Drosophila melanogaster: one gene and its partner. The protein of the gene in region 2 interacts with the protein of the main gene of each other region in a pairwise test. Each region holds a gene or a part of one and is shown on either strand. Other genes may lie near its edges. The genes, in order: tmod and ImpL1.

Evidence for each region.
Region 1: the proteins of ImpL1 (region 2) and tmod interact in a two-hybrid assay, tested with the Drosophila melanogaster proteins (one large-scale study listed by BioGRID).

Annotation. Positions count from the first base shown.
Region 1 is NT_033777.3:30,525,291-30,542,277, reverse strand, and holds the start of tmod (tropomodulin), read right to left. Parts: upstream 9,442-16,987; 5' UTR 9,296-9,441; exon of another isoform or gene 9,183-9,295; 5' UTR 8,993-9,182; coding exon 8,771-8,992; intron 3,320-8,770; exon of another isoform or gene 2,859-3,319; coding exon of another isoform or gene 2,838-2,858; intron 1-2,837. Other genes in the region: jdp, read left to right, coding at 15,949-16,035.
Region 2 is NT_037436.4:13,374,023-13,389,623, reverse strand, and holds ImpL1 (Ecdysone-inducible gene L1), read right to left. Parts: upstream 6,855-15,601; 5' UTR 6,820-6,854; coding exon 5,719-6,819; 3' UTR 5,625-5,718; downstream 1-5,624. Other genes in the region: Poc1 (proteome of centrioles 1), read left to right, coding at 1-630, 698-901, 1,046-1,174; CG10171 (uncharacterized protein), read left to right, coding at 1,850-1,958, 2,014-2,909; CG14110 (uncharacterized protein), read right to left, coding at 3,715-4,697, 4,750-4,813; CG14107 (uncharacterized protein), read left to right, coding at 8,348-8,375, 8,439-9,145; SNCF (SoxNeuro Co-Factor), read right to left, coding at 10,562-11,002; CG14111 (uncharacterized protein), read right to left, coding at 9,244-9,630, 10,009-10,352, 11,607-11,637.

The DNA of each region.
Region 1 (16,987 bases), on a different chromosome or scaffold from region 2:
GTGACCAGAATAACCGAAATTATCACGGCATCATAAATAATAGAGTTAACAATAAGTTAATTATTCATTGGAATGAAATTAATTTGCTTCGCGTTGTGAAGAGAAAATTAAATAAAATAAATCAGCGCTCTTGAACCAAAAGTAGCAAGTTATTAACATGCGTAATTAAATCCATTACTGAAACATGGCAATTCAGATTTTGTGTAATATGGGACCAAGCAAAAAGCATGCATAAACAAAATGATAAATTAAATGTATAACCACAATTCAGAAAGTACAATTTCAATAAAAAATTGTAAAACTATGCCCGAGGCTAATCGTTTTTATCTTTGGCAACCAGTTTTCCTTTAATGAAATACTTTCTTCTGCACTAAACAAGAGCATAAAATCTTCGTTTTATTGCTTATAAACAGGTTCATGTGTCTGTTTCCTATTCTTTTCCCCATTTGCATGGCGCGTTTTGATTGATTGCGCGAACGCTGCATGCTGAACAAGACAATGGGGAAATGGCGCTGGGAAATGATTTTCCGAAATGTTCAAACCATCCAACGCGCTGGGGCTGGGGATTGGGGACTGGGTGTTGCGGGTGGGAAAATATTCATGACAGCTGCAGCTGTGGGTGGCCGTGGGCGGGAAGTTGGTCGTTGTGTGTGAAAATCTGGTCAGTGCGTGGGAACTGCAGTGACCGTAGTCTGAATTTAATCAATCTAATGCATTCAGCCCCAAACACCACACAAAACACCCAAAGTCATTGGGGAGCACTCATCAAATTAACACCTCAAAATCTCAATCGCTCATGGGGCGCTCTGATTAAATAAGAATAAAGCTGGAGGTAAAATTGCAGGTAAAAATTTTGATTAAGACAATGTGCATTAGCTTGAGAGTAAATATATATACATTTCTTGATTAGAGCCGAGTAGCAGGGATAAACAAGAAAACAAAAGCTATTCGAGGAAAAGTCGGAAAAACTGCACAGAAACTGCAAGGTTAGATATAAATATTTGCAAGTCACGTCATCAGCAAGTATGAAGTATGAAGGAAAAAATATTCATATTAAAATCTGCTAAAATGAAAACAATAAAAAAATAAATAATAGTAATATACTGTTCATAATATTTAATATTAATTTAAAAAGGAATTTTTTCACCGCTTTTATATATTTTTGAATATTTCTTCCAGCGTTTTTCCGAGCTGCCTAAGCGATCCTCTGCGAAGGAGACCGCAAACTGCTTAGCCAAATTGCTAATAAGCCAACACAAAGCACAAACATCAAGATGATGGGCCAAAGGGGCGGGGCAGGGGGCGGTTGAGGCAACAATGGCCGACGGCAGATAAAGAAGTGTGTCGATAGCAGCTAAGCGTACAAGTAATAAAGGAAAACTCCGAGCGGGAAAGGGGGCGGCAGTCGTCGTTTATTTTTAAACATATTGAAAAGGCAAGAAGAAGCGGTTAAGTTAAGGCATCGGTCGAACCGAATGAAAACAATTTTATTAAGTGAAAAATACGATGGCAGAAAACAACCCGCAGCCAAAATAAACAGACCAAAGCCAAGGCAAGCAAAAGAGGAAAAAGGCAGCCAGAAAAGCGGGCGACCGAAGCGGAGTCCTTGGCAGTGGGAAACCCAACGGGTTGCCCCCCGGGGTCGGGCGGTGCGGAAAAAGGGGGCGGGAAAAATCGGAGGATATCTGATTGAAAGATGCGTCGAAGCGTCGTTGTCGATGTCGAATCACCTTGAACCACAACAACGCCACGAACAACACGATACAACGCCGCACGCACAACGCCTGCCAAAGTTACACTGAAAAAAAAAAACTTGGGCTTGGCTAGAGTAGCATGCTTAAGAGTTAGTAATTGAACTTAAGGTATATTTCACTCTCTTTCTCTTTCAGATGATCTGCTTTGTAGTTAGACTTGAACACTATTTTTCAATTCAAAAGTGTTTCTTGCAGTGCAGATCAGACACAATTAAGTGCGAAGAAAACGGAAGCAGACGACAAAATTTTACGAGCCAAGCAACCGAAACGAGAGGCGACGATGAGCGGAGGGGCGTGGCAGGTGGCGCAGGGCGGTGCAGGTGACAAAAGCACCGACGACGGCGACTTCTTTACATAAAAGATTGACAAGTGATTTTCGCACCTAAGTGGCAAGCGCAGGAAAGAAAACATACAGCAGCAAGAACAGCAAGGCAAGGGAAAAGTTTTCAGCCGCTCGCTAGGTTGTTTTTTGGAAAATGGAAAATTTGTTGGAGGAAATTGTTTGGGGGCATTGTTCGTGCGGCACAGTTAGCTAAGTCGATGGATTTTCTCACCCCCGAGCGGTTTTAATTTGTTGAGTGGCGGAGACTGGCCAACTGACCATTGAAAGTGTGGCACACAATTTGATCGAATGATTGAGTGGGAAAACTTTAAGGACACGAGCGGTGAAGCTGTGAAGCTGAGTAACTGAAAAGGTAATTTATGAGATTAACTCGTCCTCTAACCAAATCGGGTGGGAGTGATTGAAGAGGTGGCCTATTAAAAAGTGATTCATAACAGAAACAGCAGTGGTAAAAAGGAGGACTGAAATGCGAGTATATTTATACATAATAGGTTTTCCAAGGGGTTAAGTCTTTAAAACCAACATGTTTAAATTCATCATTCAAGCTTTAGTTCTATAGTATGTCCTTGGTTTTGGTCCCTAATTTCAATTGAACACCGAACGGACATCAACAACAATAGGTGCACCTTCGGAGCCTCAAATTTCTAATGAAAACTGCATGGACGAGCACATTCAAATAAATCCCTGGCAACAATGGACCTCTCGAGTTCCGTTTTTGTGCCCCCCGGGGATCGACTTACCGCATCGTCTGTGATGGCCATGATGACTGCTTGGCTTGCTGATGGCTTCTATTGGGTGGTTTTCTATTGATGCCCCGGCGGTGGGGGGAACCGAAGGGGGGTAACTGGGGGTCTAATCCGCTTTTGCCAAAACAGAAATTATCTTGTGTGGGGCAATCTTGGCTATTGCGCAGAAATTCAATTGAAATATCTCAGTGTTGCGCTGAATGGGAAGCTATATATGGTATATATAGATTTTGGATCTCACTGGCACACACGCACACACACACGCGGATGTCCAGAAGATCGCACGTCACGAAAATCGGGGGAGGGATACGAAACTAATCTATTTATTTGGCTGATTGACTGCTAGACTGGTCAATCTAAACCATTCCAATCCATTCCATTCTGGCTGGGCTAGATCTATATAAATCAATAGTTTCGGTTGGTTCGATTGGCTCGCGATGCGCGCTGCTTTGTTTTGTGGCTTTTGCGATGCAACTAACCGAATGCAAGCGCAAATTCAAGTCGGAAACTGCATCGAAATGCAATCAAAGTGCCAATTGACGTCGAGTATCTGCTGTTTCGATACTATAATACTGCTCTATATATATATATATATTTACATAGACCAGAGTGGGGTTAACTTTCGATTTCTCGCCGTTGACAAATTCCTGGCATTCTCGCTAATATTCCTCGCGCGCCTTTCACATTCACGTAAATTCCTCCTCATTTTTCCGACGAGCGGAAATGGAAATGGCATCCATTGTCAGGGCCAAGTGGCCGATTCTGCAGGAGGCCTCTTAACTCGAACTTATGGCCACTTGGCCGCAATTAAAGCCGGTGCCGCTTTTCGTTTCAATATTAATGGGCGCATTAACCGCAAATTGCAGCCAGACTGCAGTAATTACATTCGTTAATTTGCAGCACGAAAAATATGGTTCACGATGGAAAAACAAATGCGAGAGCTGAATTAATTTAAAAAGTTGAACTTAATGCCGATGGGTGGGTGAGTTCTCAGAAAATCCTTTGAAGAATTAACAATATGTCTAATTACATATTGAATTTTCCCCATTTCATTCAAGCGCATTGAACAATGCAAATATTTATTCAAAATGGGTAAGTACCCCTGATAATCGTGAATTCCAAAACTGTTTCATATTTGTATAAACCACCTGAAATGTAGAAATTGAGCCTAAGGGCGGGATAGTCACAAATGGATAGACCGAATGAATAGATTTTCTGCACTGCACCATTGAAAAACAAGTCAATTGAGAACATGGCCAAATGTCAATTTTCGGCATATGGAATTATGGAGCGGATTTTAGGGGTCAGTGGCTCGTTTGGTCATCATCAAGTGGAAATAGTAATTTATGGGGATTATTTATCTGCGTGCGTTTGAAAGGGGGAAAGTGGAAAATAGAAAATGGAAAATGGAAAATAGAAAACGCAAGATGATTCTGTGTAAACAAGCAAATGTCAGTTTGCAGTCGTCGGGCTGTTGGTAATTTATTGTTGAATTGGGTTAGACAAACGTTTGTTCAGCTGAACTAATTTGCCAATTGCGTTCGTACTGTTACTGTATTAATTTTAGCGAAATGCTAATAACCTGAGGCCGTTGCTTCTGTTTAATCAAAGTGATCCCTTAAGTTCGGCCAATTTCCAACTAATTGGCTTATTTTCATTTGCATTTCGGGCTTTGGAAACTCTAGAAGAGCTCAGGAAAATCTGCACAATTTCCTCATCCAATTGCAAATAGACAGAGCTCTTCTACAACCTTCTTTCGACCCCCTTTTTTCCCTTCTGTCTCGGAGCTCAGAGCCGAGAAAACTACGCAAAACATTTTGTAAATGAATTTTATTTGTCGAGATTTTTGCGGCGCGCCCCAATGTAATTGAAATAAATTCTCAATAGAATATCCGGCCAAAGTTGGCGGAAGCCTATGGCAGGCAATGAAATTATTTGTTTGTTGTTCTGGCGGAGATGTAACGCTCTGCAAAATCCAAATCCGAAATCCAGGGGATTTCAAGACGCTGAGCAATGGGCAAATTTCCGTTGCGGCAGGTCAAAGAATTGGATTCGAAGGAGCGGTTTTCGATTTGATCTGGATAAATAAATAGAAGGGCAAAGTGTTTGAAAATTAAATGAAATATATGCCAGTCATAAGGCGGATTTTCGCCAGAGTGAGACAGCGCGAGCGGAGCGAGAGAGAAGGCAAACCGCTCGGCAAAATAAATGGCACGTTCATCATACGCCCCGTGTACACAATTTGGCAGCTTTATTTATATACCCCAGCATGAATGCTGTAGCATATACGCCGCACATATTCGCCTTATGTTTTCACGCAAAACGTTTGCTTTTCAATTATATAAACATATTTCGATTGTATTCAGTGTTCAGTGCTCAGTGGCGGGGCCAGTGTGTGCATTAAAATTATAAATTGTTTGAACAGCCAAGGCACAAATAAATAAAACACAGAACCGCGAACGAGGCGAAGCGAACCGAAATGAAAGCGAAGCGCATAAATAACTGACCAAATGTACTCGAAATTTGGAGGTGGGTGTGGGCTTCTCCTCTCTTTTCCGAGGGAGTGGAGGTGGGACCTGGGAAAATCTCCTTGGGAACTGCAACAAGTGAATGGAAGCTAAGCGAGCGTCAAAGGCCAAGAGACGCCTGACATTGAAATGTCGTCTTGTTGTGTCACGCCTTTCAACCAAACCAATACACACTTTGCCATGCACTGCGAGAAATCGTTGGGGAGTGGCCCTTTTTTAGTACCACTATTTGTGGTAACATCCATAACTCTCGATCTTTTCAAACTAAACAACTCGGGTAAAAAACCTATCCGGTATATGGTATATATATTAGTAACGAATAATACAAGTTTTAAACCCTAAAATCAAAAAATATCTCAGTGTAGTCACACACACACAACACACGTTTCAGTGGCTGCCAGTGAAATATATGTTTGGACTTCAAGAGGCGCCACCGCGTTGACAGCTGTCAATGAAAAGGGGGTGAAGGGCGCAGGGATCTGTGGGAGTGGCTGGTGGTGCGGTGGGCGGTGCGGTCGGTGGTCCAGGCGACGGGATAGTGGGTGGTGCAGAGACAGCTGTCCCTGCGCTGATTAGCGCTGTGGTTGGCCGCATTTGCGGAGTTCGCTGGCAAAATTCAAAACAATTTAATATGCCAGCTAGCGCAATAAAATCATCGGGAAAATCGCTGTGGTCCACGACAACCAGCGGAATATCCGTGGCCAGGCTAATCGGGCGGAAAACTCTGAATGGTTTTCCCCGAAAACATCACCAACTACAATAAATCCGTTCGGAGCTGAGCTGGCCCCTCACGGATTCCAATTAATCTCCGTTCAATATTATGATGTCTAATCAAGAGAATACTGGACGGGACAGCAGGACAATGGACGTTGGAGGCCACAGGAAATTCCATTATCCCAGCAATCTCCGCATGGGGCTCATGTGTAATATGGATGTGGTGTCCGGTTATGTGAGTTTACGGCTTGTTGCACAAATTAGCATGCCCCATTTGATTGGAACGGCGGAGCTGAGCAAAGATTTGCTTAACTACATTCCAGTCGGCAGGAATAATATGGCCGAACTTTCCGACCGCAAAGTCGCTCGTTTGGGTGTTTATTAAATAGTGGTGCATTTCCATAATGTTTGCATTAAATGGCGCATAATCAGATAATTTAATAATCGCAAATTGGGCGTATTTGATGTTGAATTTTCAGTGACAATAGATTGAGAGTTCGATTTTGTTGAAACTAATCAATCATGAATATTCTATGAATATTTTATTCAATTTAGTCATTCTCTTTAATATTTATTGTTTAGTTTATAAGCAAATACACAGAGGCTTGAACCATACCCCGCACCGCACAAATTACCGTCGTTTAATGAGCTAATCAAATCAGGAAACAACGGTGAAATCAACTGTGAAATTTATGACAGTTTTCCGCTTCGCCTCGAATTAAGGATAACGAAAGGCAGTGGGGATGGGGAGTGGAGAAAGTGCCCGGCGTATCTCCGACTTTATTTAACTAATTTTGCATTTTCAACTCAAACTCGACTTTGGTCACGTATCCCTGCGGCTGGAACTTTGACCTGTTAAGCGCATAAAAATGACAAAAACGGTACGTGACTCATTAGCCGCTTTCGCCCAGGAAATGCCGCCGGGAGAAAGTGAGCGGGGAAAGCTGGCTTGGGCAGTTCAGCAGTTCAGCAGTTCATGAGCTTCGGCAAGGAAACCGGACTTTGGCAGCGCAATTAGTTCGGCAAGCTGCTCGGAGCGAGGCACATACGATCCTGTTTTGTGTATATGGCAACATATGCCCTGGCAGCAGCACATCCTTATCCCTGCCCCATTCGCAGGACTCCGGCTGGCTGAGCTCATGCGTTTTCATTTCCATTTCGGGCCCATAAAAACGGCAAAACGGAAAAACGAGAAAAGGCCGAGAGGCCGACCCAAAAAGAAGTAAATTGCAATGCAAATTTAATTTGGCTGCCATAAAACTCGACGAAAGAAAAACGGGCGGTGTTTTGCTTTTCGCCCGGCGAGGGGCGAGGGGGGCCAGACAGTCGTAAAACAGCGGCGGGAAAATCGAAGACTTTCTGCGGGGTTTGGGGTGGGGTAGCGGTAGTGGGGAATACGGGTGGAAGTGCGTGGCCGCCGCGCCAAGCCGGAAATGCAATTTGTAATTTTGTGCAACGATTTGTGGCAATTAATTGCTGCCCCACCACTTGCACCACCCGCCCCATGCGGCACCACCCAACTTTCGCCCAGTGCGCGCCAGACCGCAAGACACGGAAACCTCAATATTTATTTTTTGTTTCGCCTTCTTCTCGATGTTTTTTTTGTTTTTTTTTTTTTTTGGTCTGATACTTGTTTTTTTGCCTCTGCATTTGTTGGCGGCACAGAATTTATTGCATTTAATTTTTTTGCCATTTCTCTTCGAGTGTGGGGATTTTTTGGCATAGCTCGGCATCGAGTATTTAAGTGATTTCTGCTTAATAATAATTTAATTCCCAGCTTTTTTTATACGCCATGCCATTTGAAATCTTTTGTGATAATTTGCGCCGAAATCAAACAGCTGCAAAATTTGTATTTTTTGTTGGCTTTCCCCCGGCAACGTCGCCTATAGAAAGTGTGGCCGAACATATACATACATATGTATATGTGTATATAATCGCCTATATGTCCGTCTATATCTGTGCCGCGGTGTGTGTGATGTATAATGTATGGGAAGATTTATAATATTCGTGGGACCGTATAAACAATTCGCTAAGACGCACATAGAGAAATGGCACTTGGTATAAATAATGTATAGCCAGAGTTCGCCATGTTTTGGCCAATTTCACAAGCGAGGAGACCAGTACGGCAGAAGATCCCTTCAGAATATGAGAATAATGATTTATAGTCTTTCATAAGCCAAACGATCGGGGGTGGCCAACTATTGAGGAAATCATTCAGTTTTGGGCGGATTCTTTGGTTTAAACTTGTAGTTCCGTAAGAATATTTTCGGAAATATGTAAAATGGAATGTCATTTACTTTCGCAAAAATATGCGATGTTTTTATATAAATTCAATGCAAAAACAAGATGTTGTTTTGCGGCATATATCCCCCCACCAAAAGCTTGGTAAACAATACTTGAATCGAAAATATTTTTATAAAAATTTCCATGCTTAATAAATTTTAACGAACTGTTCTTTAAGTTGATTGCGAATATGCACTTAACATTAAAGCTTTTGGAAATAGTTTCCATTAAGAATTTCCCAAGTTCCCGAATTTTTATAGCTTCTTGAACGGTTTTCAAATTCAGAATACATATTGATTTTCATGGCTATTCGAATTATGTTTGTACTCAGCACACGCACAATAAGTTAGTTAATGGATAATGGCGGCTATTAGATGGATCCATGGGTCAGAGTTCACTCACCTCAGTGATCTTCATGGTGCGCTTCACCGTTTTGCGGGTAACTTCGGTGGTTTCCTCCACGACATCGCCATCCTCATCGATGGTCTCCGTTACCATTTTCTCGGTCTCGCCGGGAATCACCTCCTCGGTGTGCTCGGTGACCACGCTGGTTTTGCTCTGGGCATCGGGTTCGGGCTTGGTCTCCTCGGCGGAGCCACCGAAAACATCCTCAATGTCCGACATTGTCTCTGATTTATATCCTTTTCGATTGGAGTCGAGCTGATTCACTTGGCTTTCTCTCACGTTCTTGTGTTCACTTTCACTTGATCACTGGATCACTGATCACAACGATAACACATAACACGCAGAATTGCTTGGGTTTTCTTCTTTCTTATTTTCTTTCTTTTAGCCTGAAAAATACAAACGACCAGAGCTAGAAAAATGAATATTTTTTGTATATTCCGCTGGGCTTTTGGCAGCCGCTGGTTATTATATAAACAAGAGGAATTTCACGGCGCGCTGGTTTTTTAGTAACTTGTTTTCGACCTAAGGGCGGTATATTTAGAGGTACTGTAGATCCTTCGTGGTTTACGCAGATGCCTGGAGCCTTCGATCCTCTCGGGAAGTGCTCGATTATCGAACTGTAAAAACGTAACGTCGACCAGCGGCCACGAAAGGCGCGACAACAACGGAGAACGGAGAATTACGGAACAATGGGACTACGGAAGAACGGAACAATGGGACAACGGAATAACGTAGAGCCGTGGTGACAAAAGGCGGATAAAGCGAAACAAGTTGAAAGATGGAGCTATCGAAATCCCATCACATCACTTCAGCCTGTTTCGAAAACAAATCCGGAATAATTACGGAACAACGGAACGCACACGAGGCGAATTACACGATCACGGGTCTTCTACTTGCTGCCTCCGTCCTAGCTTCTTCTAATTCTTCTAGTTAGAATCTTCTGCCGTCTGCCACCGGAACCGACGCCGGAGAGCAGAGCGAGACGGTCTGAGTTCCGGAGGGTCTAGTGGGGCAGAGGCCCCCAATGTGTTAGCCGCAGGTGCGAGCGGGACGGCCCGAGACCCCCAGCGCTCGGGAGAGCGCCAGCAATTCTCCACACTCTCTCCTCCACTCTCACTCTCAGTTCTCTGCCGATCTGCTGCCGCTGCTGACGTCTGCTCAATTTTGAACGTTGATCTTCGTCGCGTTTCAAAAGTTTTTTGTTGCCTTCGTTCCGATCTTTTCTACACTGTGTGCCTCTACACTGAGAGAAAATCCTACCAAATTGGATTTACATTTAGAAAGCTTTATTTGGTAAAAAGAGGAAACTATCTGACAATATTTCGTATGTTAAAAAGTAAAAGTACAAGGCTGTGATCCCACATGTATCCTAATCCTTCCGAAATTGAACTCCAGAGTTCTATAAAATATCAAAATATCTGCAATGAAGTAAGAAGTGAGTTAACCATTTTTCTGAGTGCAGTATTTCTGTTCTTTCTTTGAGCAAATGTGAAATTTGAATGCGAATGAGTTCGCTCGCTAATTGTCCGCCTGTTGCAATTTCTTCGTTTGACCAGGCGAATGCAATTAGTGCGGCTGCCGGACGTCTGAGGCCCGTCAGAATGTGAAACTCCGCCGTGAAGTGCCAACACTCCTCATTCGCCATCTCATATGGTCTGTACTCCCCTTACTCCGCATACCCCCTACTCTCCATACTCCCCGTCAAAGACCCACGCACTCTTCTCGTCAATGTGCGTGGAGCTATTTTGGGTGGATTTAACAATAGACAGAAAAAAGAGGCAGCCAAGGATGAAGATAGTGATATCTTCCGACTTTGGAATACCTAAAAAAGAGATTTTGATAGTAAGAATAGAGTTTTACAATAAGAATTATAGAATGTTTATTCAAGAAGTAAAAATATCTTATAAACTTGAATTTAGATAGATTTTAAAATTAATTTACAAACCAATTTGTCCACTCTATCAGAGGGACTTACTATCCCCATAAGCCCGTGTTGCATTTCCCTTTTTCCAACATTTTTTTTCCAATAAGCCCAGACATCTCATCGATACCCTCTGTGGGCAAACAACTCTGAATCGGGTGGAATACATTGGGCTGATCCGGCTGGCCATTTGGCCGGGCGGCATTTGACGCCGTCTTTTCCTTTTTCATGCGCTTTTCTTTTTTTTTCCTTTATTTTCCGTTCGTTTTTTTCCCTTTTTCCTTTGCCGTGGCCAGCGTTCGATGTGCGAGTGGAGGCAGTGCATCACAGCCAGCGGGGCCTGTACAGGGTGCCTTGTGGCAGGGGCATCTGTCGGAAGATGCCCATCTCAAGTGATTTCACCTTCTGCCTTCTGTCCGATTTCTGATTTTGTGCTGATTCCGATTTAGATTTTTGATTAGCGAACGCTTTCAATTGCTGGCATTTGGGGGCTTTAGTTTTGACAGCGATGTGCGGACTTCCTGTATCGCATCGCGGACTGCACAAGATATATGAAAGACAAGTGTTTCGAACGGACCCCCGGTTTTCCCCGCAGCGCTGTGTAAACAAAGCGCCAAGCACACGCAAGACGGAATATTCTAAAATTAATTCTCGAAAATGTCTTTTCAGCTCGGCAAACGCAGCGACATGATGCGGGACAAATGCCTGAATATAGATACATCCAATGGATGTGTCTCTGATGAGCAAATGCAATTATGTGGCATGGGATCAGGGGCAGGGCGGAGTTGCGGGCGCTGGGTAATGAATAGAGCCACGAAATAGAGCAGCAAACTCCTTCGTATTCCCCTCTCGACGGTCCTGTTCTGCATCTGTGTGTTTGGATGTGGAAAACCACACTGATGACAGACAAGCCACGGCAGAGGAAGCCAAAGGATAACATGAGATAACACACATCAAAAGCCACTCAGACACCCACACACGAACAGCGGGGGTTAGGCAAATAGGATGGGTTTTAAGGTAAATAAGGATAATGATTAATCAGTCATATGCAATGATATATCTGTATGATTTCATTTTGAGATGCGGTTTATGTTATACTTAACTTACTTGCTATAACACACTTTTAATGCATTTTATTCGAATATGTTTTAAGTGCTATATTTTTGGAGCCCTCTGTGGATGCACGCACATGTGCTCCCCATCACAGCTGCTCGTGATCCTTTGGCGACGAGAAATCAGCGCTCAAATATGATTAATAAGTAATTTCTTTGTCAACAAGTGACTGGGGATGGCCTGCTATGACGACAGCGGCGATAACGACAACGAGAATGAGAACGGAACGACGCCATGGAAATCTTTAATAAAATACATGCATAAATAAATTATAGGGCAAGCAGAGGCGAGGAAAAACAAACTGGATGGAGATGAACTGCTCTGAATGGAGGCAAACTGGTAATAAAACAAAGCGGTGACGGCAAAGACATACAGAAAGATACAAGATACAAAGGGGTGACATGTGCAGCCGAGGCGTGACCGCACTTCCTTTTTTTCCGGCCATATATACAGGAACCTCTCCACATTGCCTTTTCCCAGCCACTTTTCAGAGCTCCTTGGCCTTGGCGTTTCCCTGTTTATTTCACAGTTGTAAATTGCACAAAGTAAATGAAGTGCTTTTTATTATAATCCAACAAGCTAACGTTGCCTGTTTTTAGCACAAAGAGAAAAGGAATATCTCAAAATGTTATTAGATTATATGAGAGTCATAGGTTCTCTGGAACTGTAAAATATAAATTTCAAATAGCACAGCGCAAATTCAAGTCTGCAGTTTGCTGTATTAAATTGATTGCCGATTTTGAATATATTTTTCTTTGTGTACTCCTCCCATTCCGAGCTTTTCCCTCCCTATATCACGAGTTTTCTTTGAATGCGGCCCGCTTGCCAAGTGTCGTTGACTCTCGCTGACCTAGAGGGAAAATAAAACCAAGGGAAATGCCTTGCCAAGATTCATGTGTAGATGATTCTGGGAAATGAAGAAAGTTTCAGTCTCGACATGCAGAAGCGGAAGGCCCAAAAACGATTTCTGTCAACTTCTGGAGAATTTTCATTGCCTGCCGTCCATTAATTGAGCTGTTGGAGGGCTGGTTGGGAAATTGCGGGAAATCGGGGAACAGCAGCTGGCAATCGACCGATGTAAGGTTCAGATTCGCCAGCACTCGACTTGTTTGACTTGCGATTTTCCTTTTAACTGAAGCGAAATGCAGTTAGCAGCAGCAGCCGGAAAGTGTAGAAAAAGACAAACACCCGGATAGTTGGATATGGATTGGTAATGGGCTGGGTTGGGAATGCAATTCAGGGGAAACTAAAGCGGAAACTGCAAACAGTAGGGATTCGCACAGCATACTTTTAGGTGCAGCTTGGCTGGAAGCAATGGAATGTCTCTAATCTGGTAGCCAACTACTCCAACTACTTCTACTACTACTACTGGCATGCATAAATCTGCAATGGCGAAGAATCTCTGGCCCCGCACACCCGGCGAATGAGCAATTTCCCAGCAATTCTTTGGCCATTGCCAATGTTTGCCCTGGCAAGCATGCTGCGGAAAATGTTCGCTTATCGGAATCCAAGTGGGTCTCAACACTCACCGCAAAAGAACACTGTAAAAAACCAAACATTAGATGGCTTATATCTTGACAGCTATGTTCAAATTCTATAACATTTGCTTTGGTTTTTAGCATATAGATCTAGGCCTGCATAAAAATTTGTATTTACTTGGATATAGCCTTAGATATCGATATCATTTCTTCCAGTTGAAAAAAAGCTTAGAGTGGCTTCTCTCAAAAGAGTGGTACTGGGGGCGAGCTGCAACTATTCTGGCCAAGAAGGTTTATCATCAACTGCATGCCGCAAGCTAAAAGAGTGGGTTGGACTGGAATATTTGCTAAGTATTCCGCATTTGTATCTGTGCCAGTAGTCGGAACTGTATCTGCAGCTAGCTGCGGGCTGTGGACAGTGAACAGTCGAAGCAGAAATGGAAATAAATAGTTGCCTTGCTCTTTTGTCTAATTAAAACGTTTCATTTCGTTCCAGCTCCATTTGTTGACGTCACACGCACAGAACACGTGTGTGTGTGTGAGCATACGTTGGCACTGAGATAGTAGGGTATATTGACTGTCAGGAACGAAAGGCCTCCATAAACTTAAAATTGTATACTGTTTCTGAAATAAAATAGCTTTAATCTGATTATCAAAATGTTTATTATAAGAATTAGGTGTGTGATATTAATATTAAGAAACAATATAACAATAACAATATACTTTAAAGGTAAATATTCAATATTGCAGTTACTGAACATCTTTCAGTCGACAACTTTGTCCCAATCGATTTGCTGGTTGCGTTGCCTCTTCTTCTCTGTGTGCGTGACGGACAAACGCGCACGGGCGCACTTTTCCGCAGGCCTTGCCCCACTCGGCCCTCGGGAAAACCCACCGTTGTGGGCTGGTCAAATGGTTTCATCTTCATTTGGTTCTGGTCCTGTTTTTCTGGCCAGACATACATGTGCCGGGTCCTGCTTCGCCATTATGATGATTTATGAACGGAAATCATTTTTCGCCCAGTGCGGCTTTTCTGTGTGGTCCAGGGGATGGTGCTAGGTCTAGGCCTCCTTTTTGAGGTCCTACTCCGCCCCGAAGTATGCAACAGTTTTCAATTTCGTTTCCGTTTGCTGCAAACTTTCGCTTCACACTCGGCTGGCTCTTTTAATTTGAAAACCAATGCTCTGCTGCTCTGGTTCGGTTATTTTCAGTTCGGATTCGCATTCGTCCGAAGTTCGATTTGACTTCATTTGGGGAAAAAGTTTTGTCGAGCAGCTGGCCGCAGATTGATGAGTTTTCTTTTTTGGGTGGAACATTAATTTCCCTTTAACAAATTCAACAAACTTTCTTCTGCAGTGGGAAGATGGTCTTCTTTTGCTCAGCCCGTTGGATCAACAAGTGGTCAAGGATTGCTAAGTTATGGTACGATTGTTTTTTTTTATAGCAGAAGCTCTATTTGAAAAGCTTTTCAATAGGCTTTTAGCCGGGATGCTTTTGTGAGGACAGCAACCAACAGCCATCACAGCTTTAGTGCTTTAAGTGCAATTTTCAATTTTAAGAGAATGTAAACTGAACGAACGAAAGAAAACGGTAAATATCACCGCCTAAAGTCAATATAGCCCTTTTAATACATTATTCCTGTATTCAGTTTAAATATTTTAGATACAACATCTTGGATTATTGGTTTTCTCTTACTTGAGGGGATTCCGCAGTACCAAAGATAGTGAGTCATCGCTGCCAACAGGTAAACCCTAAAGCACATTGTGGGATTCCCCCGCGGTTCTAAGAAACACGTATTTTCAAAACCCCGCTTACAAAGCTCAAAAAGCTCAGCTCACTCTGGGATTGGGAGGCTGTGGAGCTTTCCAGAGAGAACTTTCTCCCGTCTCCAAGCTCCACCAATCCAATCCGAAGTGGAAAACGAGCGAAGCGAGTTTCGTGATGTGGCGAACCATCAGTTCGACTTTCGACGCGCTGCCAGAAACATCGTGAGCGCCGCTTATCCCAAAGTATATATCCAAGAAGTATATATATTATATATGCTGATTCCCAGAGAGTGGGAGTCCGAGTTACTTAAAAAAAAAAACAACACAAAAACTGAGAGTGTTCTAGTGCCAGTCAAGTTGGTGTTTAGCGCATTTGATTTTGAGCGGGCTGCAATAAATAAACAACGTTTTTCCCACCGTTTACTAAAAGTTGAAGCTCTAGAAAAACAACAAGTGAAAGTGCTTCCACCAACCGAGGCAAAACAAACGAAAAACCCAAACCAAAAACCAAAACAAAACCAGATCATTCAGCTGATTACTTGGCGATTTCGTTTTTGTGCATTTGTGATTAACTTATTTTTAGCTGCTAATTGTTCCAAATCGAAGGTCACGAAATCGCCTTCGTTTGCCTTTTGATTCAGCCTAAAAATCTCAGTTACCAGTATTTGTTAGTCTTCCGGAAAATATAACCAATGATAAGTGCAAATAGGCTAACCAAAAGTGAATTAGTAATCCCGAAATTCTTTGTGGACTGGTGAAAGTAAAGTTTAAGTAACAAACTTTGTATCTTCTTTAAAATATCATTTCATTAATTGCTGTCCCTGAACTTGGGCCACTTCCTTCCGATACAGAAAAACATATATAAATTCCCGACCGATCCCAGGAATAACTGACGCAATGAGCGCCGTTGATGCTATAATCAATTACAAGCGCAGTCCCAACGAGGACTTCTACGGTCTGCTCCATTGCGATGAGAACTCATCGGTAAGTTGCCATCCAATCCAATCGTGCCACCACTTTTTATATCTATGTATCTGACCACCCAACTTCAGTCAACTGCTATCCTCAAAATGTTTCCACCAACTTTTGCTATTCAGGGCTGCCAAACTCGCTCTGCTCATCGAACTTTTCCTTCGAATTTAATTAGGGACTAATCGAATTGTGGCTTTCAAAAGTGCGACTAATCGAATTGGGGCCCGTAGTTCGGACCAGTTTTGAGATGCGGTGGCCTAATTTAATAGCTTTTATAAGCCTTAAAGTCAAATTCCTTATTAAATTCTCGTGCAGGCAATAGAAACCTTCGCATGAAATCATCTATGAAATCAAATACAATTCGTGCGGCGACTGAGCACTGAAAGAAAAAGTACTTACGTATTGTTTTATTTTGGTCAATGAGAAGAATACACTATTAAATATTGCCATATACCAATGTGAGCTCTGCGAGTATCAAAAGTTCGGAAAAGTTTTCTTGCAGTGTACCCCGAAGGCGAGAGGTTTGCTTTGAGAATTAGTTTCAATTACTCAGTCAGCCATCGTAGATTGGCAGAATTGGCGTTGATCCGCCCGCCGCAGCAGATGCAGTTCGAGCATCGAGTGCAGCTTGAGTCACAGGTCCAGAGATCCAAGGGCTCACCATCCTCACCAGCGTTAAGAGGCCATCTAAGCCACCCGATTGTGGGCTGTGCCAACTGCTGTCTGAAGAGAATTAACGAGCTTGGTTTTGGCAGGCAATCTCGGGCGGCTTAATGGCATTTACCCATCGGCAGACTCGACTCCAGAGCCCTGACATTCATCCTGAGCTGTCACATTTTCTGGCTCAGTTGATGTGAAAGGTGCGAAAGGTGCAAGAACGCCAGCTCTAATCAAATTTATTGGCCCAGAAAATACTGAGGCCAGGGAACCACACACTTTTTGCGAGCTGTCGACTGCATCAGGC
Region 2 (15,601 bases):
GTAAAGATCTGGGAGCCCAAGTTGCGTGGCGTTTCCGGGGAGTTTGTGGCCCACAGCAAGGCGGTGCGCAGCGTAGACTTCGACTCCACCGGTCACTTGATGCTCACCGCCTCCGATGACAAGTCGGCGAAGATATGGCGCGTTGCCAGGCGGCAGTTTGTGTCTTCGTTTGCACAGCAAAACAACTGGGTGCGCAGCGCCAAGTTCAGTCCCAATGGCAAACTGGTGGCCACCGCCAGCGATGACAAGTCGGTGAGGATCTACGATGTGGACAGCGGCGAGTGCGTGCGCACCTTCACCGAGGAACGAGCCGCTCCACGGCAACTGGCCTGGCATCCGTGGGGCAATATGTTGGCCGTCGCCCTCGGCTGTAACCGCATCAAAATCTTTGACGTTTCCGGCAGCCAGCTGTTGCAGCTTTACGTGGTGCACTCGGCGCCGGTCAACGATGTGGCCTTTCATCCCAGCGGACACTTCCTGCTCTCCGGAAGTGACGACCGCACCATCCGCATCCTAGACCTGCTGGAGGGAAGACCCATCTACACTTTGACGGGCCACACTGATGCGGTGAATGCGGTGGCATTCAGTCGCGATGGCGACAAATTTGCTACCGGTGGCAGTGATCGCCAGGTGAGTTTCTGTTTCTTAATAAAGGTATGAAGATAATTTTACTCCTTGATTTCTGTTTCGCTTGCAGCTCCTGGTCTGGCAGTCGAACCTACACACCTATGATGCTTCGCAGTTTGAAGCCAAGTCTGCGCTGGCTTCCTCCAGTTGCGAAAGCAGTGGCGTTTCCTCCAAACAGAGCGAAGGCAGTTCGACATCCAAGTCCAATGACCTTAGTATCCGCATTGATCCGCGCCAATCGCTGGCCTATCAGCTCTCGGAAGAAAACTTTCAGGTGCTCGACAGTAAACATTCGACGCAGCCGGAGAAGGTGCTCGGTCACGGCATGGACTTCAAACAGCATAGCTCCAGTCCGCGCTTCTTTTAACCAACACGTTCAGTAGCCTTTGCCGCACATAACCAGCCGAACATTCCGCAGGTACTGGATGTGTCCATCGAATCTGGGTCGGACTTGTGCTCCTGTTCCGCGCGGCTGGACGAGATCAGCAAACTATTGGACTCGATCGATGAGCGTGTGCGACGATTGGAGGGCATATACTCTTTATAGCCTTCTAAGCTCCCTAAAATACAATTAAACGTAGTTAAAATTAATGTACCAATCATAATTAATAGCGATCCTTGATAATTAAATTGTGAAATTATTAAATATATCTGCTCCACTGTATGACGCATTTTATAAAAAGCAATTGAACAATTTTAGATCCATCACTATGAATTTTATTTTGCAATTTAAAATTAAAATGATTGCTGTAAATACCCTTTTTCGTTTAAATATATTTATTTTTATAAAATATTCAAAGGGGTTCCGATGGCTCATACCCCTAAAAAGAAAATGGTAAAGATCTTACTCTCTAAATATGTTTATTTAATAACAATCGTGTTCAAATTAACTTTATTTGGATATTTTGAATTCATTTAAATGCCTAAACAAGATTTTAAATACTGAGAGCACACTCGAATTTATAATATATATAAGAATAAAAGTAATAAACAATTTTTACATAGAAACAAAATTATTTTTCAAAATAATTTATTTAAAATTGAATCTTCATTTAAAAACGGAATGGGTTGAGTCTTCGTTGAACTAAAAGCCAGGTTGCCATACATTTGACACATTAACATTTGGTATTTTCAAACACTAGTCAACGGCATCACTGGCTCATATAAATAAACAAAACCCGCCGGAGAAAGTGGCGATAAACAGCGCCCATAAAACGTCAAGATGCGTGACTGGATGCCAGTGCTCTTCTGCGGACTGTCCGTGCCGATCTCGCTGTTCATGTGGCTGGGCAATGTGGCGCTGTCCAAGTTCTGGAGCAGTGACTTTGAGGGTGAGCTATATGGATTCCAGTGCGAACGTTACCTGGGGTCAACTAATGCCAAAAGGTTATCCGACAGAGTCCCGGGTGATTCCGCCGGTGCGCTGGCTCTTCTCCACACTGGCGCCCTTGGCCCTGATGACTGTGGCTCTGCGCCGGAGGAGCGTCAACCGATCTGGAGCTGCGCTGGGCATTCTGGTGGCCTTCATTCTCTCCATCGCCAGCCATCCGTTCTTCGCCAGCTTGGTGGTGTTCTTCTTCAGCTCATCGCGGGCCACCAAGTTCCGCGCGCACATGAAACGCCGTTTCGAGAGCGATTTTCGCGAGGGCGAAGGCCAACGAAACTGGATACAGGTACTCTGCAACGGAGGCATGGCCGCCCAGCTTGCATTGCTTTATCTGCTGGACTGCGGTAGTGGCGAGCGGGCGGTGGACTTCGCACGAGAATACCGATCCAGCTGGCTGGGTGTGGCCGTTATGAGTGCGTTTGCCTGTTGCAATGGCGACACCTGGTCCAGTGAACTAGGATCCGTGCTGTCGCAACGCGATCCAGTTTCTATCATCACCTGGCGCAGAGTGCCGCGCGGTACCAATGGTGGGGTTTCGTTGCTCGGCGTCGCGGTGAGTCTGCTCGGCGGTCTGCTCGTCGGCTTTGGCTATTTCGTCACCGTTCGTTACACGGTTGAGGCCAAAATGCTTCTGATTAGCCCACCACAATGGCCAATCATCGCCTTCGGTGGCATCGCTGGACTTTTTGGGTCCCTTTTGGACTCTGTCCTAGGTGGTCTGCTGCAGTTCTCGGGCATCAATGAGGAAGGCAAGATTGTGGATACACCTGGAAAGGGAGTGCGCCACGTAAGCGGACTGCGCATCCTGGACAACCATAGTGTCAACCTGATTTCCAGCATCGTCACCGGCGTCACCATTCCTCTCCTGGCCCAGAGATTCTGGCCCGTGCGCTAATGCTGTTTTGGATTAGGATTAGCTGCATTCAATAGCTAAAAATGTCAAAGGCTGCCTCACAAGATTGAATTCCGTGTTAAACATAAACCCATCCTCATAAAGCCTTTTAGACAGGTATATATGTACAATTGTTAACCATTTATAATTTCATAACGCCGGTGAAATACCCTCCATAGATATATTTTTATGAAGCTTACATATCGCCTAGCGAACTAACCAACCTATGAGACTCGATGAAAACAACGATTGGGCACCGAATAGCCAAGGCAGTTAGATTATATTTACTCTAAGGTAGCTAACCATGTTCCTTTACGGATTATGACGTTGTTGTTACTGTGACTGTTCACCTCCATTTTGTGTATTAACTCTACTAAACACGAACCGTACATGTGGATCTATTGTCATTGTCTCGAAATTCTCGTACGTGACGGAATACATTTTCTGATTTGGTTATGTATATTCTTATGGCGTCATCTCAAGTTGTTTTCAACAATTTGGAGATCAATGATTGGTTCCCGCTGGAATAATTTTAGCAGACCTCGCTCCAAATCGAATGTTTTGCTTATTGCACAAGCAATTGCTGTTGTGGTGATTAAAATATTCATGAAATTTCTATAACACAATTCGAAATTTTTGAATTTGAGGTAATAGAATAGAATTAAGTTCTTCAACTGAGGGTTTTAAAAATATCTTTTGTTCGAAATATAGCTACTACTCATAAAGTCTTCGAATCCATTGTTGTTAGTACATTAAAACATGAATCCAATTGAAAACCCGTGGTTTTGTTTTCGTTAATAATGTATATCTAATATTTTTGCACTTTATTGGCTCTTCTTAGTTTTTGAAGTTCAAAATTTCGAATTAAGTTTTGCGAAAGAGCACGTAAAGCCTCACTGGACGAACTATGTGAACCCGCAGTGCTGGTAGCTCCACCCGGAGTGGTTGGCTTGGCAAATCCGATTGAGAACTTGATCATTAGGTCGCCAATTGGCGAGTTGACGAATTGCGAGCCCGTTGAGATGGTCTTGAAGATGATGCGACGCTTGTGCTGGTAAACCTGCGGGTCACTTGGCAGGCTGTTTCCCGGCTGAGGATTTGCCTTGGGTTTGGTGCTGGAACCAATCTTGGGCCGTGGAGTGCTGGTGGTCACATTTGGTGATTGCTCTGTGGTGCTGGTTTGGTTCAATGGACTTTCCGAGATCCTGGGCTGAGCAGTGGTTCTTGTCCTGGTGGTTCGTGGCTGAAAAGTGGTTGTGCTGCGTCGTCTGTACGGTTTGCGAGTGGTGGTGGTTGGAAGGCTCAACGAAGGTGCCTGGTAGCCTGGGTCCTCATCCTCGGGAGCATCTGACACGGCGTCCGGTTTCTCGGGGTCCGACGGATAACCCTGATCCGTCTGATCCTCCTCGTCCTCGTAGTCATCCTGTAGATCACCATCTCGATCTCCGCCGGAGAAGTACGGTGGCTGGTGTGGTGGTTTCTGATCGCGACGATCCTGCTTCTCGCGGTGCTGCTCGTAGACAGGGTCATTGGGAGCCGATGAGGCCAACACTTGTTCCATCTGCTTTTGAAGGATCTCGTAGAGCGGCGTATTCTGCACATCCTCTAGGACTTCTGCAGGTTCGCTTGGCACAAACTGATTGTTGATATAGGCATTACGTCCATCCAGGTCTTCTTCTAGTTCCAGCTCTTCATCTTTACGGGAACGAGACTCCGTTTGCAGCTTCTCGGCTGGGGGTTGGGTCACTCCTTCGGTTACCTCGACAGGAGCAGCTTGAATGGTGAGAACAACTAGGAGAGGAAAACTAAATACCACAAGCTACAACTTTTAGAATATTCTCACCTGCACTCAGCAGAATCAGTAGCTGAATCTTCCAGACTGGAACTCCGACACTAGTGGCTCCCATTGCAGTTGGTCAACTTCTGTGACAAGTGACACAAATCCCGCTGCTTTTATAGGCAACCCAGCCGCAACCTGTTGCATTGTCCATCCCACGCCCAATTAGTTTTTAGGTTTAGTGCCTGGCAATGGATGATGGCCCTTTCAAGCTTCAGATATCAATCAGTTTATAGAACTTGTTTTGGGGGTCAATGCACTTGATTCAATGCAACTGCATCGCCTTAGAATTCTTCTCAATTTAATTACAAAGAGGTGAATTTGCCTCTAAGAAAGTTTTGAAAATTATCTGATTGAAAGATATATATGTAAAGTTGAAGTTGTTATACCCGTTACTTTAACACACAAAGTTCTTTAGAGGCCATAAAGAATTATCAAGAATGAGTTCGTTAAGAATCATAGGTGTATTCATTCCCATTACAAATTTTGCACACACCTTTCCCCTTGCTACTAAATCTGCTTCGAGTTATACTAGTTTGTCACAGAAATGTTGGATCCCGATTAATGTCTTTCCAAAGATATAGCTATGTAAATGTACAATGCACCTATTTCAGTAATTAAATGCTCAAGGGATCTGAAAAATAGTGTAACTGGTCTGGAGTCATAAGAACTAAGAAGACACTCTTACTGACTTTGGGAAAATAAAAGTGCGTTTCGATCCCATATAAAATATCTACATAAAAGTGCTAAGCAGATCTTATGATTTTTATTTTTATGACAATATAAAAGTCGGGTTACCATTAAAGTTAGCCATAAAAATTGTAGTCCAATACACGTTTAAACTACAAAGCGTGTATTTAAAAAAAACCCATTTTGTTTATCAAATATAGATGATTATCGTTGTTTAGAATTTTATTTGTTGTAATAAATTAAATAAATACTATAATTAGGTGAGATTTGTGTAGCCATTGCTTTCTAAGCTACTTGGTACTTGAGCCTATCAATGTCCTTGCCCTTGGGTTGGGTCTGCTGGTGAAGGGGCGCGATCTCCAGAGGTTTGGGCGTGGGAGTGTCCTTCAGTGGCATAGGCGGCATAGCGATGTCCTCGGTCGTCTTTGCAGGCTCCAAAACTGAAACTGGTTTTGGAACTGCTACTTGAATAGGAACTGGCACTGGCTTCTGGGTGGATTCCACTTTCTTCTGTGGCATTAGGGAAAGGGGATCCTTCTGCTTGTTTTCCTTTTGGTCATCCTTCTCCTCGCTGCTTTCGCTGCTGTCCTTCTCGTTCTTATTTTTCTCAGCCTTCTCCTTCTTCTTTTGCTCCTTCTCCAGCTTGTGTTGTTCCTCCTCCTGCTTACGCTTCTCCTCCTCCAGCTTCAATTGCTCCACGATGGCCGCATCCCGGAAATAAGGCGATGACCGGAACTTCTTGTCGGCATAGGCAGTTTCCTGCGGATATTTCGCCTGGCACTCGGCATAGGCGAAGTCCGTCCAAAGACCGTGGGATCGGCACTTGGCTACACCCAACTTGCACTTGTTGTAGAAAACGGCCACCTCTGAGGTGGTCCTGCCGCAGATGGGCTCGTACAGTTCATCGCAATCATCGTCGCACAGATAGCCCTCGCTCAAGGACTGCGCGGCACTGTTGATAGCCGCGGAATTGGAAGACTGGCAATTCTTCTGGCCCGACTCACAGCTGAACCAGGCGATGGGAATGGCCAAATAGGGGGGACTTAGACGCTTCTGTGCGGCTCCAATCTCACCGGGAGCCGCAAAGGTGCGCTTTACATAGTAGCCGTGCTCTTCGGTGGAAATTGGAGTGTTTCCAGCCAAATCCGTGGAGCTAGACCACTTGGTCTTTGTCTTGGTCTTGTGGGGATCAGACTTTTCATAGTGATGATCGGAGCCCTTGTGCTTGCGCCGCTTTGCATCCGCGGGAATCGCCTCCAAAAGCAGCAGAGCTGCTACTGCTAAAAAGGAAATGGGCGCATACCAGTTAATTATGGGACTTCCAGAACTGGTCAGCTTCGATATGCGAGACTTACCTACGATGCAAACTACTTGGTATGGCCTCATGTTGATCTGGTCAGCTGCTCGACTCCACAACAACTGATCGCATCTTCTGGCGAGCGGTGCTTAAGTACCAGTCTTAGCCACTCGGCGGGGAATTCTTTAGGGGCTTACCGGTTTTCTTCCCACTGCAGCTCTTTCAAAGAGTTCCACATCTTCTCGAGATTTGTTTACACTTCGCGATGTCTCGAGGTCCGAACGAAAGTACGCCAACTTTTTGGTACTCATACTATATTATATTTGGTGAAATTTTATGCAAACTGATGTGGCTGTGGTCGTACCCTTCCCAGCGATAGCCATCTAGAATGTCTCGGATCTGGAACTGGTTGTGTGTGTGTGTGTTTTTTTAACACCTTCGATGCCCTCCATTCGACGCCCAGCCTCCCAAGCTCGGCCGCTTCTCGAGCCGGTTCTCTGAAATTGGGTCAATCTGGAAAGGTTCGGTGATCTGGTTGTTATTTTATGAGGTTCTTCTGACCGCGATCGCCGGCAGCTGCACTCGCTCGCAGGAAATCCACGTCCAATCAAGCGTTGTCATTCTGTTATTCCGCCGATCTCTGTTGATCTTTGATCTGCGCAATTGATCACCTCCATGGATGGCGATTGTGATCTTAATTAGATCGGGCTCAACTGAAATGTGCCTCAGTGATCTGTTTCGCTGACCGTCAGACTGACATATGAAAAGTATATATTAGTTTGCAGCATACATACATTCTCTCGTGTACTTATGATCACCGCTCTCTAATGATCATGTATTCCTTATGATCAGTTAATCAACCATTCATAATTGCATTTGTTATTACCACCATCAGTTTGATGACTCATCCAGCTCGTGATCACTTCTTGTTTATTTTATATACGTAGTTCCATGGAAAAGTTTTCAAATTTCCCATTAGCATTAGAAAGTTAACCGATCTGCGATGCATTAGTTGTGGGCGATCAAATCGATGCCGAGACGCCAAACGTGTCTAATTACATAATTGGTGCTTTGACCGAATCCCAAGAAATAAGGGGACTAAGTGATCTTGTAAGCAATTTTGCATATCAGCCGAAGACTGCCGCGTTACGGTTGCCAAAAGGCGTTAATCTTTCAGACAAACAGATCGAAGCCACAGCGACCATAGACGTCAAATTTACAGATTTATGAAAGAAGTCACCAGAAAACAGAAAGACCGAAAATTTAAATAAATGATTTCGGTTTCTTTGGGGTTTCTGTAAGCCACCGGGTAAACAAAAGAGGTTCAACGAAAAGAAAGAAACCAAATGAGATGGGCCGAGGTGGGAGGAAAGAAACCCAAGATAGAGAGCTTCGGTGCAGTAAAAGCGACTGGACAACGCTCTGATAGTCGGCTCCAGAGACCGGGTTCAGATCTCGCAGAGAGCGGAGCGTTTTGGGATCGCCTTGTTTGCTCGCATTTACTTTCATTTTTGGAGGGGCTATAAAAAGCGAAAGCAGTGTGCTGGATTTGCTCATAAAGACCGCAAAACTGCAAAAGTCCACTACGAAGCCAACTGGAAGCAAAGGATTACCACAATGGTTAGACCCATTTACCTGGCCCTCGGTGAGCTGAGCTAATCTCTAGGTTTTTGTGGATCTTAGCTAATCTGTCTGTTTCCGATTGCAGCCGCTCTTTTCGTGCTGACGTGCTCTGTTGGTGCAGCCCCATTGGCGGAGACGGAAGCCAACGCCACTGAGGAGTTAGCCGTCTCAAAACAGGATCCGCAGGTTGTAAACTCCAGTGCTGATAGCAGTGAGGAGAAAGACGATGACGAAGAGGAGGATGAGGCTCAAAAGGTGGAGGAGGAGACCAACGAGGATGACGATGATGATGAAGAGGACGACGACGAAGATGACTCGGTGATCCGGAGACGTCGTGAGGCGGAGACCACTGAGGAACCTTCGGAGGAGGCAGCCACCGAAATTCCCAACGAGGATCAGAAGGTGGATGCCACCACTGGAGCAGCTCCAACACGAAAACCCGTACTCGTGCTCATTCGTGATGCCCTGAAGAAGGTCACCACCGATCTGCCCACCGCCCAGGTGGCTAACAATGCTCTGCAGTACTTCCAGCAGTTCGAACACTTCATCCAACAGGCCATCGAGGAGGTAATCGGCGATGACGACGATGAAGAGGAAACTCCATCTACAGTTATTCCCGAAACGGAAACCACAATCGAGGATAACAAGAAGCCCGAGGGTGAGAACGCGGAAAAGATCCCGGAAGTTGAGGTCCCTGCTGTCGTTTCCGAAAAGGAGACTCTGGCAGTGGAACCCATGAAGATGGAGGAGTCTGCCCCATCGACTTCGGCTCCTGTCAGCAATGCTGTCTAGTCTAGAAATTAGGATCAACACATCATTCCTCAGCTATTTATTGTCATTTATTTATTGCCAACTATAAATTGTATGCCATAATCAGTGTTTGAACATGTTTATTGCATTGGGCTATGAAGCAAAATCTTGAGTTTCTTGCCATCCTTGTTCCCCTGGTTGTCCATCTCCTTCATCGCATATACGTGACTCTTGAGTTGGCTGCGATGGCGATTGGTGGTTCGTCTCTTGGGAGACTCAATCTGCTGCAGCAAGCGATTGAAGAACGAGTTCGGTGATTTGGTAGAGTGATTCTTCTTGCTGGATCCAGATCCGCTTTCCTTTTTCAATGACAAATCCTGATCTCCAATGGTCAAACTAATGGGCAGCTTACCGCCCGTGCTTATGTAAATGGGAATGGTTATGTAGATGGGTGAGCCGGCGGTTTGTGGAGCCATCACTTGCGGATCTGGCTTACTCTCGGTTTGAGATTCAGGCTTCTGCTGCGGCTGAAAAATAAAGAAATTTGAATACAATTTTTGGATTTCGGTAAAAAATAGGAACATAAATTATGGGTATTGAAATAAAAATGTGTAAGAAATGGAGAAAATATGAAATATTTGAATTAGTTAATTTTTTTTTTACAATGCAAAATTGTGATCATATTATAAATATTTATACTAATAAAGTATATAATTTAAGGGCATCTGTTTTTTCAGGTTTTGGCGGAACCTGCGCGAGAAATTAAATAAATTAATTTTCACAAATATATAACTTTCATCACACGACGTAAAAATTTACGTTTTCATATATAGATTGAGTTACAATTGTTTATATTATTTGACAGTTGTTTAAAAATAGATTTCTAAAATGTGAAGGAATCTCACCTCCACATTTTCAAGATCCAGGGGCTGTTGCTTAAGGAAGTGCAGCGGATTGGCGTCCTCACTCAGGTTGTTGTACTCATCCTCTGATAAGGCGGGAAGACGATCGTTGTGGAAGTCGTCGTCCTCCTCCTCGATTTCGTGAGCCTGTATGGCGGACTTGGCTGTAGGATTGGATTTTAGTTTGGGAGTTGTGGCTGTGGGTGTGGCGGTGGTTGAGCTGGAAGAACCAGTTGAAGGATCTGAAGATATTGACTGCGGCAAGACCTTCACTGTGATGATGTCCTGGCTATTGTTTGATTTCGTTACATTCTGGCCAGAGCACATAATCCCACACAGGAGCAAAACTAAAGGGCAAGACATTTAAAATGAATAACATTATCACAAAGAACATTTCCCCATCGGTTGAAAAAAAAATATTTTGTTTTGCAATTTCCATGTGATATTTTATTTGATAAAATATTACAACCTAAACACTAGCGACTAACTTATAATAATGCCCCATCCCAGCCTAACAGCCTGCTCAATCCGACTTTTTCCTCTATAATTCCACAGGTTACAGCGTCGTCTTCTTGCCGTTGAGGATCATCTCGGTGAGTCCCAGTTGCCGGAATTGCTGCAGGCGCTCCACTTGATGGCAGAGGCGTTTCTGGAACTGCACCTCGCGGCTGAGTTCCTTAAGCTCGTCCACGCTGCAATCGGGATTGCAGCTGCCCATCTTCTTGGCGATTAGTTGGGAGGTAAGCACTATCTTGGCCTTGGACAGCCGGAGATAGGAAAAGTCGGCGCTGGCCCGCCTTAGTTCTTGGCGGTACAAGAAGAGTTGGTACGGGAAATTCACGGTGGCGGACTTGCGGCGGAGCTTCTTTAGAGCCCGCTTCTTTTGTTTCTTGAGCGGATCGTGGGTCTTCACCTTGTGTGGTTTGTCGGAATGTTTCTTTCCCGACTTGCGACTGGATTTCTCTGATTTGTGGCTGCGCTTGTGCTGGTCAATCATGGTGTGTTGCGGGTTGTAAGTCTCAGGAGTGAATGATGCCCCGACCAGGGGGTGAGGTCCTTTTAAAGGATCCGGTGGGCAGGTAGATCCTCCGCACAGGTATATTTGGTCCAGGTAATTAGCGGGTGCCAGTCACGCGCTTGCATGCCGTAAACCAAAAACTGTTAACAGGCTTTTCATTCGGGTTTTCTAAGGGATCCGGGTCGCCGGGAATTTCCCCGTCTCGTTTATGGCTTTATGACTAGCAAGATATCCGCGCACCCGGCTTAATCCTCAATTATGACAGCCAACTTAGCGCCGTTCGCACAGATCCTCGGGGTTTTGTGGCGATTTTTCCAGTCAAACTCAGCAGGGGATACCCGTATATCCTTCGTGGAATTCTCCAAAACCATGGATAGTTCTAGAAGCACATTCGATGGAAATTGGCAAGAAGACGACCCTGTCCCCCTAGAAATTTCTTGCTAACGCCTGGTTTTCCTGAAGGCAAGAGCTGCCTTTGGATCTGTTTTCACTTCACTAAGTTACATTCACATTTCTAGCTGTTACCAAAAAATCCTTTACACCTAACCCACATCGTATACCACAATTTTCGCATGGAACGCACCTCCGCAACTAAAGCTCCAAGATGTCTTCATGTTTCGTGCTTAATAATAATACTGAAACCACTTTTGGCATGCGATTTCTATTTTATAGCTGAGAAGGCAAAGTTTTTGGTTTGAGAAATTTCACTTGAATGGGAACAATGCGAAGTTCTACTATCAGAAATTTGCATATTAATTTCTCAATAGTCTGGCTCTACTTTTCTCTTTTCTGGTATTCTATGCAAATTTCGCTTCGCCATCTCTTGGCCCTACAAATTTAAAAGCCGATGTCGTCATTGATTGAGTCTCTTGTCTAAGGTGGTGGTCAAGGTAGTGGAAGGGGGGAATATCGAATAAATAATGATGATGCGCCACTTTTTCGGTTTATTTTGCATGCATTTTATGATTTTCGGTTCGAGAGATATTCTTTCGCCTCAGTGCCCAACAGAAGTTGTAAGGGTCCTCATATCTCTCTACTGCTCCATCTTTTCTACACAAAGAAAAATAAGTCATAGATTTGCGTATAAAGAAATAATAATACCAAATTATTTACCAAAAATAGAATTGAAAATCAGAAATTTAAAAGCAAAGGTATAGTAATAATGATGGTACAATTCAACTCGTTTCTTAATAAATACATTTTTGCTTAATTTTTTTTTCAGAACTGTTCTTTCGAACATGATTGTAAGATAGCGATTTTTCTTTTCAGTGTGGTCAGCCGGAATTAGCCAAGACCATTGAAAAGTCATCGATGGGTCACTGCATCCATTTAAAGTTCAGTTTATTTATCTAGCTGCCAGACGGGGAGCCATGGCATTTCCATTTGACTTGGCTCCGGCTGCCTTGCATAACGTTTCCTTCAATGTCCTTCATCTCTTGCGGTTTGCGTTTGTCATTAGACGACGTCTAGACCGAGATTCAGTCAGCCAGTGCCAGACATCGATCTGCGGCGATTGCCCCAAGAAGTTGGCTACACAAACTTGGCCATAGGGAAATGGTCGAAATTGGCAACGATTTCTTTGGGAATGAATTTACTCTTGGTTAAGCAGGGCGAATAAACAATTTTTTTTGGCAAATATATTTTTTGTATTTTTGTCAATAAGTTTTTGGCTGAAGTTCACAAAATTATGTTTAAACTCACATATGTATCAAAGAATCAATTTTTAAAATTCCTACACTTTCCACAGTTCTGAGAACAATCGCATTTATCCTTCCACTTAGGCAAATTAAATGTTTAATACATTTCCATCAAATTGATAACCTAAAAGGGCATCGCGTAATTATTCTTAACTGTTTTGCGGCTTTTATGACTAAACCCTCAGCTGAGCTTGTTTTATGATCCGTCCTTTATAAATTTCCAATTATAAATGCAGAAAAAGTCAAGCCAGAGGGGGGCGAACTTTTTTCATAGTCCCCAATCGAATAAACGACGCAATAATTTTTCATCGTCATTGTGTTTGCAATTTGTTAGCCATGAGGCTAGCCAATAAATTGGCCAAATATACGCCATAAAGTGGATAGCCGAAGTAGCCATCAGACGGAGGATAATATCCTGCGGAGTGAGAATCGAAAGAAGGGGATCCCCCAAAACCTATGCACTTTGTAATGAAATAAATGGACTTTCGTGATGGACGGACTAGCAAATAAATTGCAACTTTTCGCTCCAAATTAAAATGCTCTCTTTTTGGAGGTGGGCGAATATATTTTTTTCGTTCATGCAAAAATATAATAAAATACACACGACTAAACTCCACTCACTGCGTTGTATTGTTTCATTTTGTGTATTGCTCTTGTTTCGGTCTGTAAAATGCATTTCACATATTATTGTGCACTCAATCAAAAATCCATTTCCGTTTGTTTCGAACCCACACGTCTGTTTCAGCCTGTCTGCGCGGAGTGTGGAGATTCAGAATCCATTGGCAGGTGGTCCCTGCCGCGAGTTCCCGGATTGGCAGCTAAAAGTTTGATAATTGAGTTGAAGCCACGCGTTGAAGTTGCGACCATCTCCACCTTTTAGAGCCGCTTCCTACACGCCGAAAAAAGAGGCTATCAAGAAAACGTAGAGTGGAGTTTAAATATTTATGATATATGAATATATATATGAGCAGATTGTAATACATATGATTCGAAATTCAAGAATTTCGTTTTACACTTTTATAAAAAGCATTTACACATGCAAGGCACTCATTAACGTCGTACACTGGAAATTGTCCAATATTAGCACATTTTCAATTTTAAGCGTATTAAAAATCGCGAATTTCACCCAGTGTATCGTCCACCCTTTGCTCTTCCCAATCATCATCAGCTTTTAGCGGGCTGGGCGGAGGCCTCCTTTTGTATGCGCAGGACGATTGCAGGGACTCCATTCGTGTTGCACGTGCCGCATGGCAATTCAATCGACTGTGGGGCGAGGAGTCAACTGGGCGACCAAATAACATCGGATGGATGGTTGTCCTGACAGCCAGAGTTCCGCTTGTGAACCCCGAACCCCGAGTGCCGACCACCTCTGCATCATGCTGCAGTCAAAGTAATGCAATCCCATTGCAGCCAAATGGGGTAAATGGTTGGAGATCCTTGCAGAAGGACCTTTATTGTGTTTGTGCAGACCATATGATGAAGTCCTTGCCGGCAACTGACTTTGAAATGGTTAAATGATGGTCAAACGATGAATGAATTATTCGCACAGCAAATGGGTCAAAAGGATGTGTAATTTGACCATCAATGGTTTTCTATCAGCGGTCTAAGTAATAATGCTAATTTCCCATGGCAAGAACTGCCAATAATACTAATATTAAACTACTAATAATACTAATATAAAAAATAATACTAAAGAGGGAAGAAGTAACACTTTAAAAGTAGTGTCTTTATTTTATAAAACTTTTTGAACTTTTTGCTGAAATACATTTTTATGAAATATTTTGAGTGAAATGCTCTCCTAGCATAAATATACTTTTTTCATTATCTTTAAATTGGATTTCAATTGGGTATCTTTCTGTTTGTTGCAATAGGCGTTCGAGTCTTTTTGAAAAAAGTGAAGGAAACAGAAGCAGTTTATATGATATGTACGAAAAATTGTCATGAAATAAAAACTAATCAAATAAATAAATAAATGAACAAAAGCTGGCACAGAGGCACCGGCCGAGCAAATAAAGTGACAAAATAAAGGAAAACAATTGCGAAATAAATGCCACAAACAATTGACAATAAAGTACAGGACATACAAATGAGTGTGTGTGAGTGCATGACCCGATTCGCACACGCACACACACACACATACAAACATGTTTGCATGCGTCAAGGATATAAATAAAATGAAAAGAAGCCAGAAGAAGAATGAGGCACAGAGAAATAATAAATAAACTACAGTTCATGTCATGTCAGCAAGGATAACACAGAAGGAAGGACCAACAAAAACTGACAAAATGAAATTGAGAAGAGGAACTAAGCACACAAACAAAAAAAAAAAGATAATAATAAATATGTAGAGCAAGTGAAAATGGCCAAAAGTTCTTCAGATGCGTGTAGTTAATTTGATGAGCTCTTTAAGTTGTCCAATTTGTCGGCAGCCTGGCCAAAAGGAATGAAATAGGCTATGTAAACACGACCATACACGCATTCGCCCACATTCTATTGAAAACGTTCTTAGATAACGATGTGGATAAGAAAGTGGGTGGGATAACATCCCATTGTGATCCCAAAACCCATAGAGGTAGTATTCAGTACTCAAAAGTGGGAAAAACCTGTGTAGTTATCTCTTTTTTGTGATCTAGAATTTGGATTATCAGTATGTACGCGATAAAATGAGGCAGAAAATATTTGATTTGATTTGTAAATCTATTGAATATTTTTACTATTGAATTCACTATTAAAAAAAATAGTTTAAAAATTATTAGCTAAAAATCTGTTTCATGTACTGGAATAATGGCTAGATATTAATAGAAGTGCTTTAAATTATATCCCCCCATTTAGTGAGTGCACACCACCGGACTCCAACGAATCCCCCATTCGATTTACCATT